2 linked regions of the Lepisosteus oculatus genome follow. The protein of the gene in region 1 interacts with the protein of each later gene in a biochemical or structural test. Links are inferred from orthologs where the notes say so. Each region holds a gene or a part of one and is shown in the gene's direction. Other genes may lie near its edges.

The links.
Region 2: the proteins of abcc4 (region 1) and mpp1 form a complex in vitro, tested with the Homo sapiens proteins (2 studies listed by BioGRID and IntAct, with this or other methods). The link is inferred for Lepisosteus oculatus from reciprocal best matches to the Homo sapiens genes ABCC4 and MPP1.

The regions. Positions count from the first base shown.
Region 1 is NC_090710.1:7,173,755-7,181,060, forward strand, and holds the start of abcc4 (ATP-binding cassette sub-family C member 4), read left to right. Parts: upstream 1-4,287; 5' UTR 4,288-4,327; coding exon 4,328-4,401; intron 4,402-7,306. UniProt on the Homo sapiens protein: ATP-dependent transporter of the ATP-binding cassette (ABC) family that actively extrudes physiological compounds and xenobiotics from cells.
Region 2 is NC_090703.1:36,185,862-36,193,591, forward strand, and holds the start of mpp1 (55 kDa erythrocyte membrane protein), read left to right. Parts: upstream 1-4,697; 5' UTR 4,698-4,940; coding exon 4,941-5,063; intron 5,064-7,730. UniProt on the Homo sapiens protein: Essential regulator of neutrophil polarity. Regulates neutrophil polarization by regulating AKT1 phosphorylation through a mechanism that is independent of PIK3CG activity.

The DNA.
Region 1 (7,306 bases):
GTATACCGTGTATCCTAGCTTGGTGCCCAAAACTATAGACAATATTCTTAATGTGACCATACTAGTGCTTTGAACATTTTAAAATAACATCCCATGATTTAAATGTGAAATCTTGATCTACAGGTAGCTAGTGAAAAAAATGAAATTACTGTACATGCAGTACATGGAGTCATGTAATGCTAGCTTTAATTATTGGAAACTACATTTTTATACAAGACTAAGCATTCTGGGATGTTATTTGCTTAACTATTACATCAGCTAAAGTTATGTGGAAGCCTTTGCTTTCAATATACTTATATACTAAAAGAGGTTGTTTTGTCATTATTCTTGAGCAGTGTCAAGCAATTTAATCTTCAGGCTTCTGTGATACATTTCATGTTCAGAAGTTATTGAAAGAACAGGCAATGCTCCAAAGCTCTTTGGAACCAAGATTAAGTACAGTAAGTGAGAAAAAGTATCAAGAGAAAAATCAATTAGCAATTAATCAAACCCCCTGAAATTCAACTTTTCTATCTAGAATTAATTAACTTTAAATGTGATCTGGTAATGAATACAGGAATATGAAATGTTGGCAACTAATTATTATTTTCAAATGAAGAGATAAAAACCTGTTTTTAACAACAGTACAGCATGTGTTCTATTGTCATTTTAAAAATATTTCTGCAATGGCAAATGAGGCTTGGGTTTTTTTAGGTACAGTATGTAAGTTCCCTGCTTTTGTCAGCTATTCTGCAAACTTTGCCTTCAGTGGAAAATTAAATCCATAGATTCTGATGATGATTCGCTGTTGGTGACTCGCATGTACTGTACTGTAAGTGCATTAAAGGCTTCTAAAACTCTTGTAACAAGCAAGTGACACAGAAGAATAGAATTAAAAAGGATTAAAAAGTTCCTACGTCATTCATCCTCTCAACTGCCAATTCAATAGCCTTCTTCAGTTTGTGGAGCATATTGCATGTCAGTTTTTTCAACCTAAACAGAAGCTAAGGTGGTACCAAACCTTGAGGACATCTTTCACGGCAACATGAAAACTTCAGCCACTTCAACATAAGAGAGATGTATTTATAAGGAAAACATATCAATAGTAGTAACAATACTCACAATTTTGAATTTATTATTTTAAAATCAGTGCTTTTAGCTTTCTCAGGGAATGTGTGAGACAATATTTTATCATCTATGTATTTTTTAAGGCTTTCTGGTTCTGATTAATTTAAATTCCTGACCCTGACCGAACTGGGCATCTACACTCAGATATGAAGACAGAAAACAAGGACATTGCCCAAACTGAATATACAGACACAGAGAATCCTTTGGCATGACCTGTCAGAGTGTTTTTGACACAACAGGCTACCCTTTTCCTTATTGTAGCACAGTGTCACCATATGCTATTTTTGGAAAGAAAGACAAATTATAATGTTTAAAAAATTAGAATCTACAGTATGTACCTGACCACTTGATTAACATTGTTTTGGGGTTAACGTGAGTTCAGGAACTGCAAATACAGTACATAATCTCTCAAGGCTTCAAATGCAATCTCATCAATATATTTTGCATGAATTTGGTGAAAAGCAGATACATGTTCAAGTTTTTTGTATTTGTTTTTTGTTTTTTGAATTCTAGTTTATTGTACACGGTTAAGCGAAAGTGCTCTCCCTTGTGGTACGTTTGATGTTGTAATAAGTATGAAGGAGGATTTTTATTGATTAAGTCAGTGGTTTACTCTTACTGGTTTGGCGAAGAGGAGTACTTAATCTTTCACCTGATAGTGTGAGCATAAATAGACACCCCTGTTATGTGCAGCTGCAGAACAGACCTTTCTGACTACTCCTGTTGTGAAACAGCCGGCAAGGAGACATCAAGAGTGTGACCTAGCCTTTTTCCATTTCACAGCACTAATATGCATGGAACTGGGTCATTGGTCAGCTTGCCAAGAAAAACCTCAAAGGGAGCAGAGGGCAGGGCATCACTGAGTTGGTAGAATGAGAAACTATAATCATAGCTGTGGGTGGTTTTCAGAAGGCTGCAGTGAAACATGCATCTTTTTATTTAATTAACATGCCACTGGTGCTAAAATAATAAGACAGCATAATCCACAGCCATTTAAATTTGTAATATAAGGAAAACATTGCTGATTCAGATTACTTTCCTAAACCTTGACAACACATTTTTTGAGGTAATCTTTCATTTTTTAAAATCTCTATGGGATTAAATTATGGAACGGGATTACGTCTATGTTATTTTGTCTTAACAGTCAAGCAATTTGTGTTTGTGATCATGTAATTAACACAAATAGTAAGTACAATACAATATACATTTTATTTTTAAATAATTAATTAATAAATAAAATGTATTTATTGTAAATGTATACATTTGATCACATTACAAATAAAATGTTCTTTGTGATCAACCCAGTGATTTAAAATGACCATAAATATGTTGGATCAGAATCTCACTTAGTCAATGGACAACTCAATCCATATCATTATTATAAACAATTGCAAACACAGAGGAAGCAATAATTAATTTTATTCACCTTATTTTAAAGCATCTAGGCAAATGCAAACTATTTGCTAAAGTACTGTACTTTTTCTCGGCTTTTCTTCAGTTTTTAACACAAACCAACCAGACATTATATTATCAAAAATGATTCAATTACAGATCATCCCATATTTGATCTTTTGGTACAACTCATTCCTTACAAGAAGACTGCAGCAAGTTAAAGTACTGTAAATGGTATACTTTCTTCCAAGTAAATGACTGTGGAGCACTCGAAGGGTGTATGTGTTCACCACTGCTCTTCACTTTCTGCACGAATGATTGTGTTGCCAGTGGTTCAAACCAATTTCTAAACACATTTTTTGATGATTCCACCTTACTTTCTCAGATGAATGATAATGATGACTCCAACATATATCAGAACAATATATTGATTCTATAAAAACAGAAGAAATTGTCTCTGGTCTTAAACAGAATGGATATCCTTCCCTGGTCATAAGTTATAATGATTCCATTAAGCAAATTTGATTACATAACAAATAAAACATTGGATACATCCTATTAATATCTGGGAATACAGTATACTATACATAGTTGCAAATCTGTATTGGAAGGTACATGTTGACTTTTTTGTAATAAAGTACAGCAAAGAATTTACTTTCTTTGCAGGTTATGGTTTTGGTTACTATTGGTGCTAGTAGTCATACTCTGTGTTTTTCAGTTTTGTGGTACAAAGTGTCATGCAGAATGGAATAACTGGCTAGTATAATAGTCTTTCTGTGCAACATAAAGCCAAGATGACCAGACTCTTGAGGATGTTAGTAAGGCAGCCATTTGCAGAGCCTTCAAACTGCTTACATTAAGAGTATGTGGAGAAGACCTGTTAGGATCTCCTCTGATCGCTTCCATGTCCTGCATGAAGAATATTAACATACAATATGCCTTCAAACAGATGTTTTAGAGTTCCTCAATGCAGACTTAACAAAATGAAGAATTCCTTTATCCCATATTCAATAAAACTACTCAGTCAACAAATGAGTGTAGGTTAAGGGTTATGGAAGAATGCAATAAGTGGTTATGTGCAAAATGAAGAGTGAATAGACAATTATAGAGGCTTAGGGTGATTGTGGGTGGAGTAAATTTACAGGTACTGTAAGTTGTGAATTCCTATAGAAAGGACTATGGATGGGTTGAATTATTTTATGTAATGTTTATTTGTACTGTTCATACATTTTTATAAGTTTCTCTGTAGAAATAGCTGCTTGGATGCAGAACAAATTTCTGAGAAATCAGAGAAATCATTAATTTTATTTTTTTAGAGTTTAGAAGTCTGTATGTGATTGCACATCACTTTGAGGCAATAACTGCATGAAGTGTGAGACCCATGAGCTTACCAATCTGTTTGTGTAACTGATTCAGATGCTTTATTGCAGGCACTTTGACGTCTTGTTAATTCTGAAGTATTGTGGCTTACATTTTTGTTCAACCATGTAAAATGTATTCTCAATTGGTGTTCAGTCCAGAGATTAGATTGGCCATTTTGCTTGCTTTGCACCATCCAGTAACCTTGACAGACATCAGGGGTGCTGCCGGTTATAATTACAAGGCGCGTTGGTAAACCAATCCGAAAGACGTGGGCGGAGCAAACCAGAACCTGGTCTCAGTGTGAGTCTCGCGTCTTGGAAATGGGTAGGCTGTACTCAGTAGAGTTGTAGCTGGATTACCATGTGCAAAAGAGGGGTTATACAATCTTGCACAAGACATTGGTATAAAAAACAGACAAGGAGCCTTTCCCTTTTGGCCCAGACATTGAGCAAAGTGCTAGGGCACGATGGAACCTCTGCGGAAAGATGAGAAACCTAATCCATCGGCCACAGCTAATCTGTTTTCCAAGGTTTTTTTCTGGTAAGAGGGCGATTAAACTAGAAAGGAAGTAGAACAAATCGTATTTTCTCTTATATTCTGGTTTTCTTTGTTGCCGTAAATCCATACAGAGGCTTTTTTGTTACTGTAACGGAAGTTTCCGTTTTTAGTTTTGGAAGCTGTAGGTTTGGAGCCGGTGGTTTTATCGTGTAATGTACATCAGCTACACTGAAAAGAGACAAAAACCAAATAAGAGCTAAAATGATATAAAAACTGTATGATTAAGAAGTTTACAAAGCTAATTGGTTAAAAAAAACTTAATCGAAATGTATAAGCATCGTCTTAACAGAGGGTTTCCTTAATAATATGCAGTGAGCACGTGACAAGTGACACTGCAGTATTTGGTACGTCTGCACTCACGGCAATATGTATAATATTAAACAAAAACTGGTGTAATGTAAATATTTAATTACAAATATAAATGTAATTACTGTGCCGGTCGTTTCTTTCTTTCTGCTTTTTATGTTGCTTATGTACGTTGGTTGATCCACAGGTTGCTGTGTTGCCATTGAGTTTTAATACTATCTTTTGCAGTGAACCTTACCTTTATAGAATGTAACTTAATAATAACACTGATAACATGAAATAGGTGCTTTTAATAACATTTAATGTCATGTTATTTAAAACCACGAAAACGTGATTTTCGTTAGATGCTTTGAAAACTAAAGAAATAGACATGTATCTCCAGCGTTATAGCGAATATTAGGTTATTTAAAAAATGTGCGTTTAACTAAGCACTGTGGTGTGTTAAATAATAATTCCACATTTAGTGTTACGATGTACCTGTACGTTTGCTTTTCTTTATATCAAAAGTCAATCGTGTGAAGCACTTTTTAAAAGACGTACGCTTCTTCTATAAAACTACTCGAGAATTTACCAGCTGTAATAGGATACACTACCGCGGGAATTTGAAAGCCACTCTGAATGTCATCTCTGTACTTTGGTTTATGAGTTGCAAGTCCATTATACTGATGCAACTTTTAGTAGTTGTAATGTGTTCTTCATGTTTTTCTCACAATAGGCAAAAAAAGCTTGAAATATCCACATCCTGGTTCATGGTTTCTGTATAGTAAGATGCAGTAGCTTGTAAAACCTGAAATGGATCAAACTCCTATGCAATGTGAATTTCTCTGTTCACTATTAGGCGGGGTGGAAGCGTGTTTTGCCTATTTTCTTGTAAAAATATGCAAGTGCACCATATGACTGACAAGCTTTAGAAGACTTTGTTCCATTGTCATAACCAGTATTATTTTAATTTTATCTGCCGATAATAACCAAATAGTATTTGACGGTTTAAGAGAGAACATAATTCCTTGCTTTTGTACAACACTTCTCATCTCAAAGGATCTTCAGGCTAAGATCTCTGAAAGATGGTCCTGGTCAGTGCTGGAACTGGAGCACTTTGAGAATAGAAGCAGTTTGCTGACATTAGTGGTATTAGCAGAAACTAAAACATGACAAAGATAGTGACAGGGGACACTGCTATAGAGGACATTGTCCCAGATAACCTGTCAAATGAAGATCCTGAATACCTGGTTATTAAAGATCTTATGGAATTGTCTGTAAGAGTAGGGATGTTAAATGAAGTGGCTAAATTTCACTCCGGGCTTGTACAATTTAGCCTCCCTAAATTTCTCACTAAATTCAGTTGTTGAATTTATTTCTGATTTCCCCACCTGATTAGCTGTGTATTGGGTCTGTAGTAGTAGTAGTAGTAGTAGTAGTAGTAGTAGTATTAACATCACTTTACAATTTTTTGCATTAGGAATGATCTTTTCGCATACCCCAGTTTGGTCTCCATGAGACACACAGACAGGGAGAGAGCCTGGGGTCAGAGCGCAGGGTCTGCCAGTGTACGGCACCCCTGGAGCAGCTGGGGTTAAGGGCCTTGCTCAGGAGCCCAACGGAGTAGGATAGTGGCTACATCACATCACATTGTTAGTGGCTGGTAAATTAATCTCTAATTTTCAGAAATGTACAGTACCTTGCCTTTCTTACATGAGTTCCACTCTGTCGGAAGTTGCGGTGTACTGTAAAAACAGATGCATCTGTGTTGTATCTTGTTTTACTACAAACCTGTAATTCCAATTTTGTAGTACTTGTTAGTAGTTTGTTGAAGGTTGTGACTCTTCAGTTATACATGATTTAGGATTTGATGACCCTGCTTTGCTAGCCAGTGAAACAGGAAAAATAAACTGTTGAGTGGACACACGACTTTGTCATATACAGTATTAGGGAATCCATTGTCCCATTATCTTCTCTCATTCTGTATTTTTCATATTGGAGCATGATTAGAGCACTATTTTAGGAGTTACAAAAGATAATTTTCACATTTTAAGTGAAACTAGTGACTTTGGAATTGAATGTCTTTTATTTTGAGACATGGCTTTGTTTTAATTTGTCTAAATTATAGTTATATAACTGGTGGCATAACCAAGTGAAGACAAACTCCTGCTTTTATGTTTACATGTGGTATACTGTAACTATATTGGCTGTATAAATGCAGCTGACACTGTAGAAGAGACGTAGCCCTGCCTCCTCCTTGTTTCCTCTCTTCACATTTCTGTTAGTACAAACATGTGCAAGGAGCTCATGTATGATCCATCTACTGGTATAAAAGGGCAAATGTTAATGTGTAAAAACTCTGTGTAAAGATTATGTACATTACAAAGGAGAAAAACATGACAGGTCTAATTTTTCTCTTGACTTAGTAGTTTGGCTTGAAATGTGATTAGGAAGAAATAGCAGAACCAAAAACTTTGTTATACCTTCCTCTGCACACAATTAAAACCAAACCAAGAGCAAGATCTAGTAATAAACATAAAGGTGATATGGTATGAACCTTGTTTGTGTAGATAAGCAGAGTGCAGTAATCCCTCATTATACT
Region 2 (7,730 bases), on another chromosome or scaffold:
TCCAATGAATGGAGAAAATTTAAAAGAACAGTAATCTGTCGTTAAGGGAAGGGAGAATGTGTGATCCTAACTGCAGAATAATTTTAGTTTCGGTGGTCTTTCTGATGTATGAGTTCGGAAAACCGTCTTTGAGAACACAGACGGAGAGATTAGTGTGGTCGTGGCCGTCAGAGGTGAAATGAGAAACAATGGGCTTGGAGAGATCTTTAATCTTCACAGCCCTGACGTGTTCTCTGAAGCGGTCTCCGAGTCTCCTTCCTGTTTCTCCAATGTAGATGGCTGGGCATTTACTGCAAGAGATACAGTAAATAAGGTTGCTGGAGGTACAAGATGCTGTCTGGGTGATCCGGAATTGTCCTGAGGGGCCTTGAATGAGTGTGGTGGTGGCTGTGTACTTGCAGGTGATACAGCGAGCTCTGTTGCAAGGGAAAGTGCCTGGTGTGGATGGTTGTTGAGGGCGGTCAAGGGAGCTGTGAACAAGGAGGTTACGCAGATTAGGTGGTCGGCGATATGAGATGATAGGGCGATCAGAAAAGAGGGCCCCAATGGAGGGATCATCCTGTAGGATGGAAAAATTCTGGTTAATGGTCCTGGGGATAGGAAGTGTGTTAGGGTGGTAAGGAAGCACCAAGGGAATGCGGTTGTTACGGCGGGAGTTCCTAATCGGGTTGATGGTCCGGGGGGTGTTTTTGGCTCGGGCAAGGGCCCTGTCAATCACACTGCTGGGATATCCTCTGTTGATAAAAAATGAGTACATTTCGAGGGCTTGGTTCTCGAAGTCGATGTCAACGCTGCATAGTCTTCGTAACCTAAGGAACTGTGAAAAAGGAAGAGAGTTTTTAGTGTGGTTGGGGTGAAATGAGCTGTACAGGAGGTAGCTGTGTGAATCCGTGGGTTTGTAATAAACTGAAGTGGAAAGTCGGGGGTAGTTGATAGACAAGTGGATGTCTAGAAACGGAAGAGTGGTGGAAGATATGTGAACTGTATATTTGAGGGACGGGTGGAAGTTGGTGAAATGGTGCAGGAAGAACTCGAGGTGATCGTTGGAGCATGTGGCGGCACCGACGCAATCATCAATATATCGTTTGTAGAGGTCAGGGACATAGCCAGTGTAGGAGGCGAAGAAGCGTTCTTCTACCCAGCCGACAAAAATGTTGGCATAGCTGGGTCCCATTCTGGTGCCCATGGCAACTCCACTGACCTGTTGGTAAAAAAGATTATTGAAAGAGAATGCGTTCAGTGTGAGGACCAATTCTGCAAGGCGTACCAGGGTGTGGGTGGGTGGATCAAGCACTGTGCGTTTGTCCAGCGTGTGCTTGAGTGCTGTAAGGCCGTCATTATGGGGAATGACGGTGTACAGAGATGTGATGTCCATGGTAAAAATGTGGCATTCGGTACCCTGAAATTGGAAATCATTGAAAAGTTGGAGCGCGTGGTTGGTGTCTTTGATGTATGAGGGAAGATCTTCAACCAGCGGTCTCATGAGGCTGTCGAGAAAGGCTGAGATGTAAGTAGTTGGACAGTTACATGCTGATACGATGGGGCGTCCAGGGGTGTCTGGTTTGTGGATTTTGGGGAGGAAGTAAAATTGAGATACCTGTGGATGTTCCATGATGAGCCGGTTCGCCTCCTGGGGGAGCTCGTTACTGCTGATAAGAAGGGAAATGGTGGATACCACTTCCTTTTGGTAGTCAGTGGTAGGGTCCTGTTGGAGAGGGAGGTAGGCAGAAGTGTCAGTTAGTTGTCTAGAGGCTTCAAAGATATATAGATCCTTACGCCACACCACAACAGCACCTCCTTTGTCCGCTGGTTTGATGACGATATCATCCCTGTTGCGGAGAGACTGGAGCGCCTGATTTTCTCCTTGGGTGAGGTTAGACCTATGCTTACTGGGTATAGAGAGTGCCTTGGGAGCTTGATTAGTGCATTGGTTAATGAAATAATCAACTGGTGGAAAACGGCCGGAGGAGGGAGTCCAACAGCTCTGTTTCGGATTAATGTTGTTAATGACATCAATAACCGGGTTGTTATCAGCTGCCTGTGAAGAGGAATTGTCGGCAAAATGTGCTCTGAGACGGATCCTGCGGTAAAAGCGGTTAAGGTCGACATTGGTCTGGGGGATGTCCAGCTTCCTGGGAACTGGTACAAAACTGAGCCCTTTGCTGAGGAGGGATCGCTCGTCCTGTGAAAGGGAAAGGTCAGAAGGTATGGTGACAACAAGGTTAGGGTTGGTGAGGGTGTCCGGGGTGTTGATGGTTTTCTTCTGTAGAAGATGACTGAGTTTTTTGTCCTTCTCTGTAGTGAGAAACTGGTAGAGTTTAGAGTTGAGAGATCTAATGAGGTTAGTTATGAAGGGAAGATGGTGTGGAGCTGTCAGCCGTAGAAATTCCTTAGCCTCTTTGATGTTGTTGTCAGAAAGGATAATCCGTTTTTTGAGGGAGAAAATGGTAGAGAGCATTAGTTTCCTAGAAAATTGTTTTAGAAGTCTCTGAGTGTTGCTCTGGGTGTTATCAGAGTCAAAAGAAAAGGTATTAAATTTAAGGCGAAATCCTTTAGGGATGATATTATGTCGACGACATCTGTAAAGGAATAGAAGGTGGTTAGAAAGCCTGGTCTTGGAACAGATAGCTGTGAAGAGACGGAATGCTGGTTTAGTGAGAGAAGCGGGCAAGTGGCCCAGGGAGGAAGAGAAGGTATGACGAAGAGATCTAGAAAAAGATTTGGAGGAAGGCATAGTGGGTCGCAGCAGCTGTAGGCGGTAGTAGTTCAGGTGGGTAGCTGCGTCAGCATGCGTAGGCTGCAAAGGAACAAGTAATAGGTTTATTCCATGCTGAAAAAAAGAAGAAAGAGAACACAACGTTTCGGCCGTGGAGCCTTCTTCAGGTGTGAGAGAGACAGGGCAGTAGGCAAAGGTAAAGTAGCAGGAGAACAAAGGTTGGGGGGAGGAGGAGTGAGAGGCGGGAGCAGGGGACAGAAAGAGAGGCCAATCAAGAGGTGTGAAGGCAGAATGGGTGCAGAGAGGTGTGAAATGAAACTTCCAATGAATGGAGAAAATTTAAAAGAACAGTAATCTGTCGTTAAGGGAAGGGAGAATGTGTGATCCTAACTGCAGAATAATTTTAGTTTCGGTGGTCTTTCTGATGTATGAGTTCGGAAAACCGTCTTTGAGAACACAGACGGAGAGATTAGTGTGGTCGTGGCCGTCAGAGGTGAAATGAGAAACAATGGGCTTGGAGAGATCTTTAATCTTCACAGCCCTGACGTGTTCTCTGAAGCGGTCTCCGAGTCTCCTTCCTGTTTCTCCAATGTAGATGGCTGGGCATTTACTGCAAGAGATACAGTAAATAAGGTTGCTGGAGGTACAAGATGCTGTCTGGGTGATCCGGAATTGTCCTGAGGGGCCTTGAATGAGTGTGGTGGTGGCTGTGTACTTGCAGGTGATACAGCGAGCTCTGTTGCAAGGGAAAGTGCCTGGTGTGGATGGTTGTTGAGGGCGGTCAAGGGAGCTGTGAACAAGGAGGTTACGCAGATTAGGTGGTCGGCGATATGAGATGATAGGGCGATCAGAAAAGAGGGCCCCAATGGAGGGATCATCCTGTAGGATGGAAAAATTCTGGTTAATGGTCCTGGGGATAGGAAGTGTGTTAGGGTGGTAAGGAAGCACCAAGGGAATGCGGTTGTTACGGCGGGAGTTCCTAATCGGGTTGATGGTCCGGGGGGTGTTTTTGGCTCGGGCAAGGGCCCTGTCAATCACACTGCTGGGATATCCTCTGTTGATAAAAAATGAGTACATTTCGAGGGCTTGGTTCTCGAAGTCGATGTCAACGCTGCAACGGAAATGGGATATACTGTACAGTATGGGACATAGTAGTGACAAAGATGGTGTGCCCTTATTGGCTGAGGCCTTCAGGCTCTGGCTAGTATCCATCCGCCTGCCCTGGGGACCTACAGTATAGAGTAGCCCTTAGCAAGAGTCCTTGTTCTCTTGAGTAAACTGTGGTGGTCTGCCTGCTGTTTGTGTAATCTGCCTGTTCAGCCACTTTTATTTTGTCAATTCAGTAAAAGGGTGAAACTGTACATAGACTGCGCCTTCTAAATTTTCTAGGTATCTTCAAAAGAAAACGCCAGCTTAGCGTCACAGGATTTTTTTATCTAGTATCTCTCTTTGGTAAAAGGGAAAAGCCCATCTCCATTAAGTAAATATTGATTTCAGATGGAGTTGCTTATTCCTAGAGTGTCGGAATGACGTTTGCATAAAACACAACTGTATGTATTTCCATGCTCAATAAAATATTTCAGTTTCTTTGGAAATGCAAATGTCCTTGATGCGCGTTTCAATGGCAACTGTCAACAACACACACCCGTAAATACATGTTTTCCACAGACCCCAGCTACTCTCGCCATTGCGCAACAAAATGCTGTTCATGTCAAATTCTAACTGCTGAAGCAGTGTCTGTGCTGAGGTTATGGGAAACACCATTACAAAGGGGTATTTTGTAGAAAATAATTAAACTTTACTCTTCTGAAACACCGACAATATATTTTATGTCAGTTCCGTGTACGTGTGTCCAGAAATGGCTATTTCATTCAGACACAAATAATGAGATTGCTCATGAGGTCGTTGTTGATCTTAGTCCCCCACTTTGCTGCGTTTTGGTAGAGTCCTTGGCTCTCCTATCACGTAACTGTTTCAAGGAAGCTGCAGTACTTTAACCTCCTCCATCACTTATGTTTACTTGCTTTGCAAGCACTGCCGGCAAGACTCTACGGAGTGTGTCAGATCCGATCTGACTTTAGGACTTTAACCCAGAACGGGGCTTTATCTTTCTGTCACGGTTTATTATCGGTCCTTTTCTCTTTCCCCGTGGAGCCAGGTAGCTTCTGCAAGGGCACTCTGTCCTGTTCCTTCATCTATTGACAGCTGTTAGCTAACCTTTAGGATGACATTAAAATCCAATAAAAACGAACCCGCTGCTGTATTTGAGCGTGTGAACAGCGTTCGGACAGCCCTCTCCGATCTGTACCTCGAGCAGCTGCTACAAAACAAGCCCAAGCCAGAGAAGGTAAGGATTTGATTCAATACAGTCATTCTTTAAAAATGTTCAGCCGTTTTAAACCAGTACAATCTCGTTACCGTTAGCTATAGAACATGCTTTAACTACTTCTTCTGTCAATACTAGTGTATGAAGAAAATCAATAATAGCTGTAAATACAGGGGACAGCTCCAGTACTGATGGATGGATAGACAGACAATATAGGAGGCTACAGTTTGAATTTGTTCACATCTGATACGTGATCTTCTCTGGTGGGGAACATTTCTTTATCTATTGTTTTCCTCGTAAAGTGAGTGTGTACTGACTGTGTACATAAAGGCTTTCAAACCTGGATCTGTGCAATATTACTTCACGTTATGTTCAGAAACTCCAAAACATCACCTATGAATTGTATATGTTTATGATTAATCATTATTAATGTCTGCACATTTTGTCTGTGTAGATGTCAAAGCCTTGTTAAGTGTGACTTGTTTGTTGTAAAGTATGTCAAGAAATGTATCACCATTTATACATGCATGTTTTAGAAAAAATAAAACTACTTCCTTTTGATATTTATTAAATTATTGTGAAATCATCTTGATTTGTTGTTCATTAATCAATAATTAACTATTTAACAACCTTATTAGTTAGAGAGTTGATTGGGCACACATGTTGGAAGTTGATGGTGATTTATCTCATTGAATACAGTAAAACTTAAGAAAGAAAAACACAAAAAGGAACCAATCCTTATCAAGTGAAAATCAACTCCTTCCACCATGTGTATATTGAAAAGTAGACTAAGTCAGAACACTTTTGTTTACCATCGGAGGTATTCACAGTTAGCCATTTCTCACCTGGTAACACCCAAACACCGTCCTTCGACAATGGGCCACAATCTTGGAAACCATGAATTATGAAACCTTGCTGAAACTGACACATCACCACTGTGAGGTTGGTCACAATATGTGCGCCAGCTTTTCAAGTGTGAGAAGACAGCAAGACATCATTTGGGGCCAGCAGGGGGTGCCCACCCTGTGGTTCATGTGGGTCCTAATGCCCCAGTATAGTGACGGGGACACTATACTGTAAATAGGCGCATTCCTTCGGATGAGATGTAAAACCGAGGTCCTGACTCTCTGTGGTCATTAAAAATCCCAGGTCGTTTCTCGAAAAGGGTAGGGGTGTAAGTCCAGAAAAGCGCTATATAAGTGTAAGCAATTATTATTATTATTATTATTATTATTATTATTATTATTATTATCATCATCATTTGCGGTGTTCACCTGTTTTCATCAACACAGCAGAATTAGGTGGTGTTAGCAACACCTCAAGTAGTCTTGCCAGCAGCAGAGCCTTGGTATTGATCGATCAAAGTTGCGTGTAGCCCACTCTAATGGATGCCAGTTATTGTCATGTGGTGTAGACTCACAGAATAATGCAGTCAATGTTCTGTATAGTTGATTGGGAGTCACCAGAGAACTCTACTTGTGATTGATGGCAACTACATGTCCATGGACCCTTGCTGCCCTTCCGGTGATCTCATCTAAATATGTCAAATATCCAGCAGCACAAGGCATCTCCTTCAAGCTGCTTGTGTTAAAACAACTTTTTATGAAGTGAGAATTTAACGGATATGCCACGGATGTCCGTGTCCCTGTCCGTGTCCATGTCCATGTCTGCTTGCCAGACTTGAAGCCCCGTTGAATATATGTGGAAAGAGCTGCGGTGACGTGGCTTCTAGGGCTCAGAGACCAGTGAAAAGCCACATGCTTGTCCAGGCAAGAAGTATGAAGCAGAATCTTACAAGATGGAATCTGCAACCTAATCAAAGCATTTATTGTATATGTTCAGCATGTATTGTTTCCAGCACTGCTCACACAAGGTTCTGCTTTGTGACTTTCACAGTAAATGCCCTGTTGACCCTGCTGATCACATAATTTCTTTTGATGTTAAGGATTTATTTTGAAGAAAACTATAATTCTGAGATTCTTTGACATTGCAGCTCATGAGCGTCTACTGTAAAATTAGACCAATTAAAAAGGTAAACCTAAATACTTAATCTGTGATGCTGGGCTTTTTGGGGATAATTTCTTGGCTCACACAGTCTAATACTTTTCTTTTATTCTTTCTTCTTATCAACTGTCAGATGTTGAGGTGCTTGTGTTATTTTTTCTTGGGGTTCATGTAGGACGAACAACTAGCTGTTGAACAAAAGAACAAAGTTTACAGCAGCATTGCTACTTAAAATATTGCCTGTCAAGGAAAAAAAATGTATACAGTAGCCAGTTTCAACACGTTTGCCTCAGCTGATTCCTTTGTGAAATAGTGGGTGATTAAATTCCATTCTTGTTGAGAAATCCATCTGCACATGAACTACATCAGTGATTAGTAAGCAGATTTCTACACACTCTTATAAAAGAAAGTAACTCTGTGAATATGCATGGCACTGATACAACTTCTTATAGTTGCCCAAATTGTTCTTAGACCCTAGTTTCTATGTTGTATCCCATTTTCCACAGACATAACGTTAGCACCATTAATATTTTGGATATTACCAACCGTAAGTGCTGATTATTGTAATCAGTTCCATGCCAGTTTAGCCTCTTACCTTATATTCTAGATGAATAAAAACTTGATGAATCGTTGTTTTGGCTACTTGAATAGTCTATCATCCCCTTTCTTTTTGAGGGTTAAAAA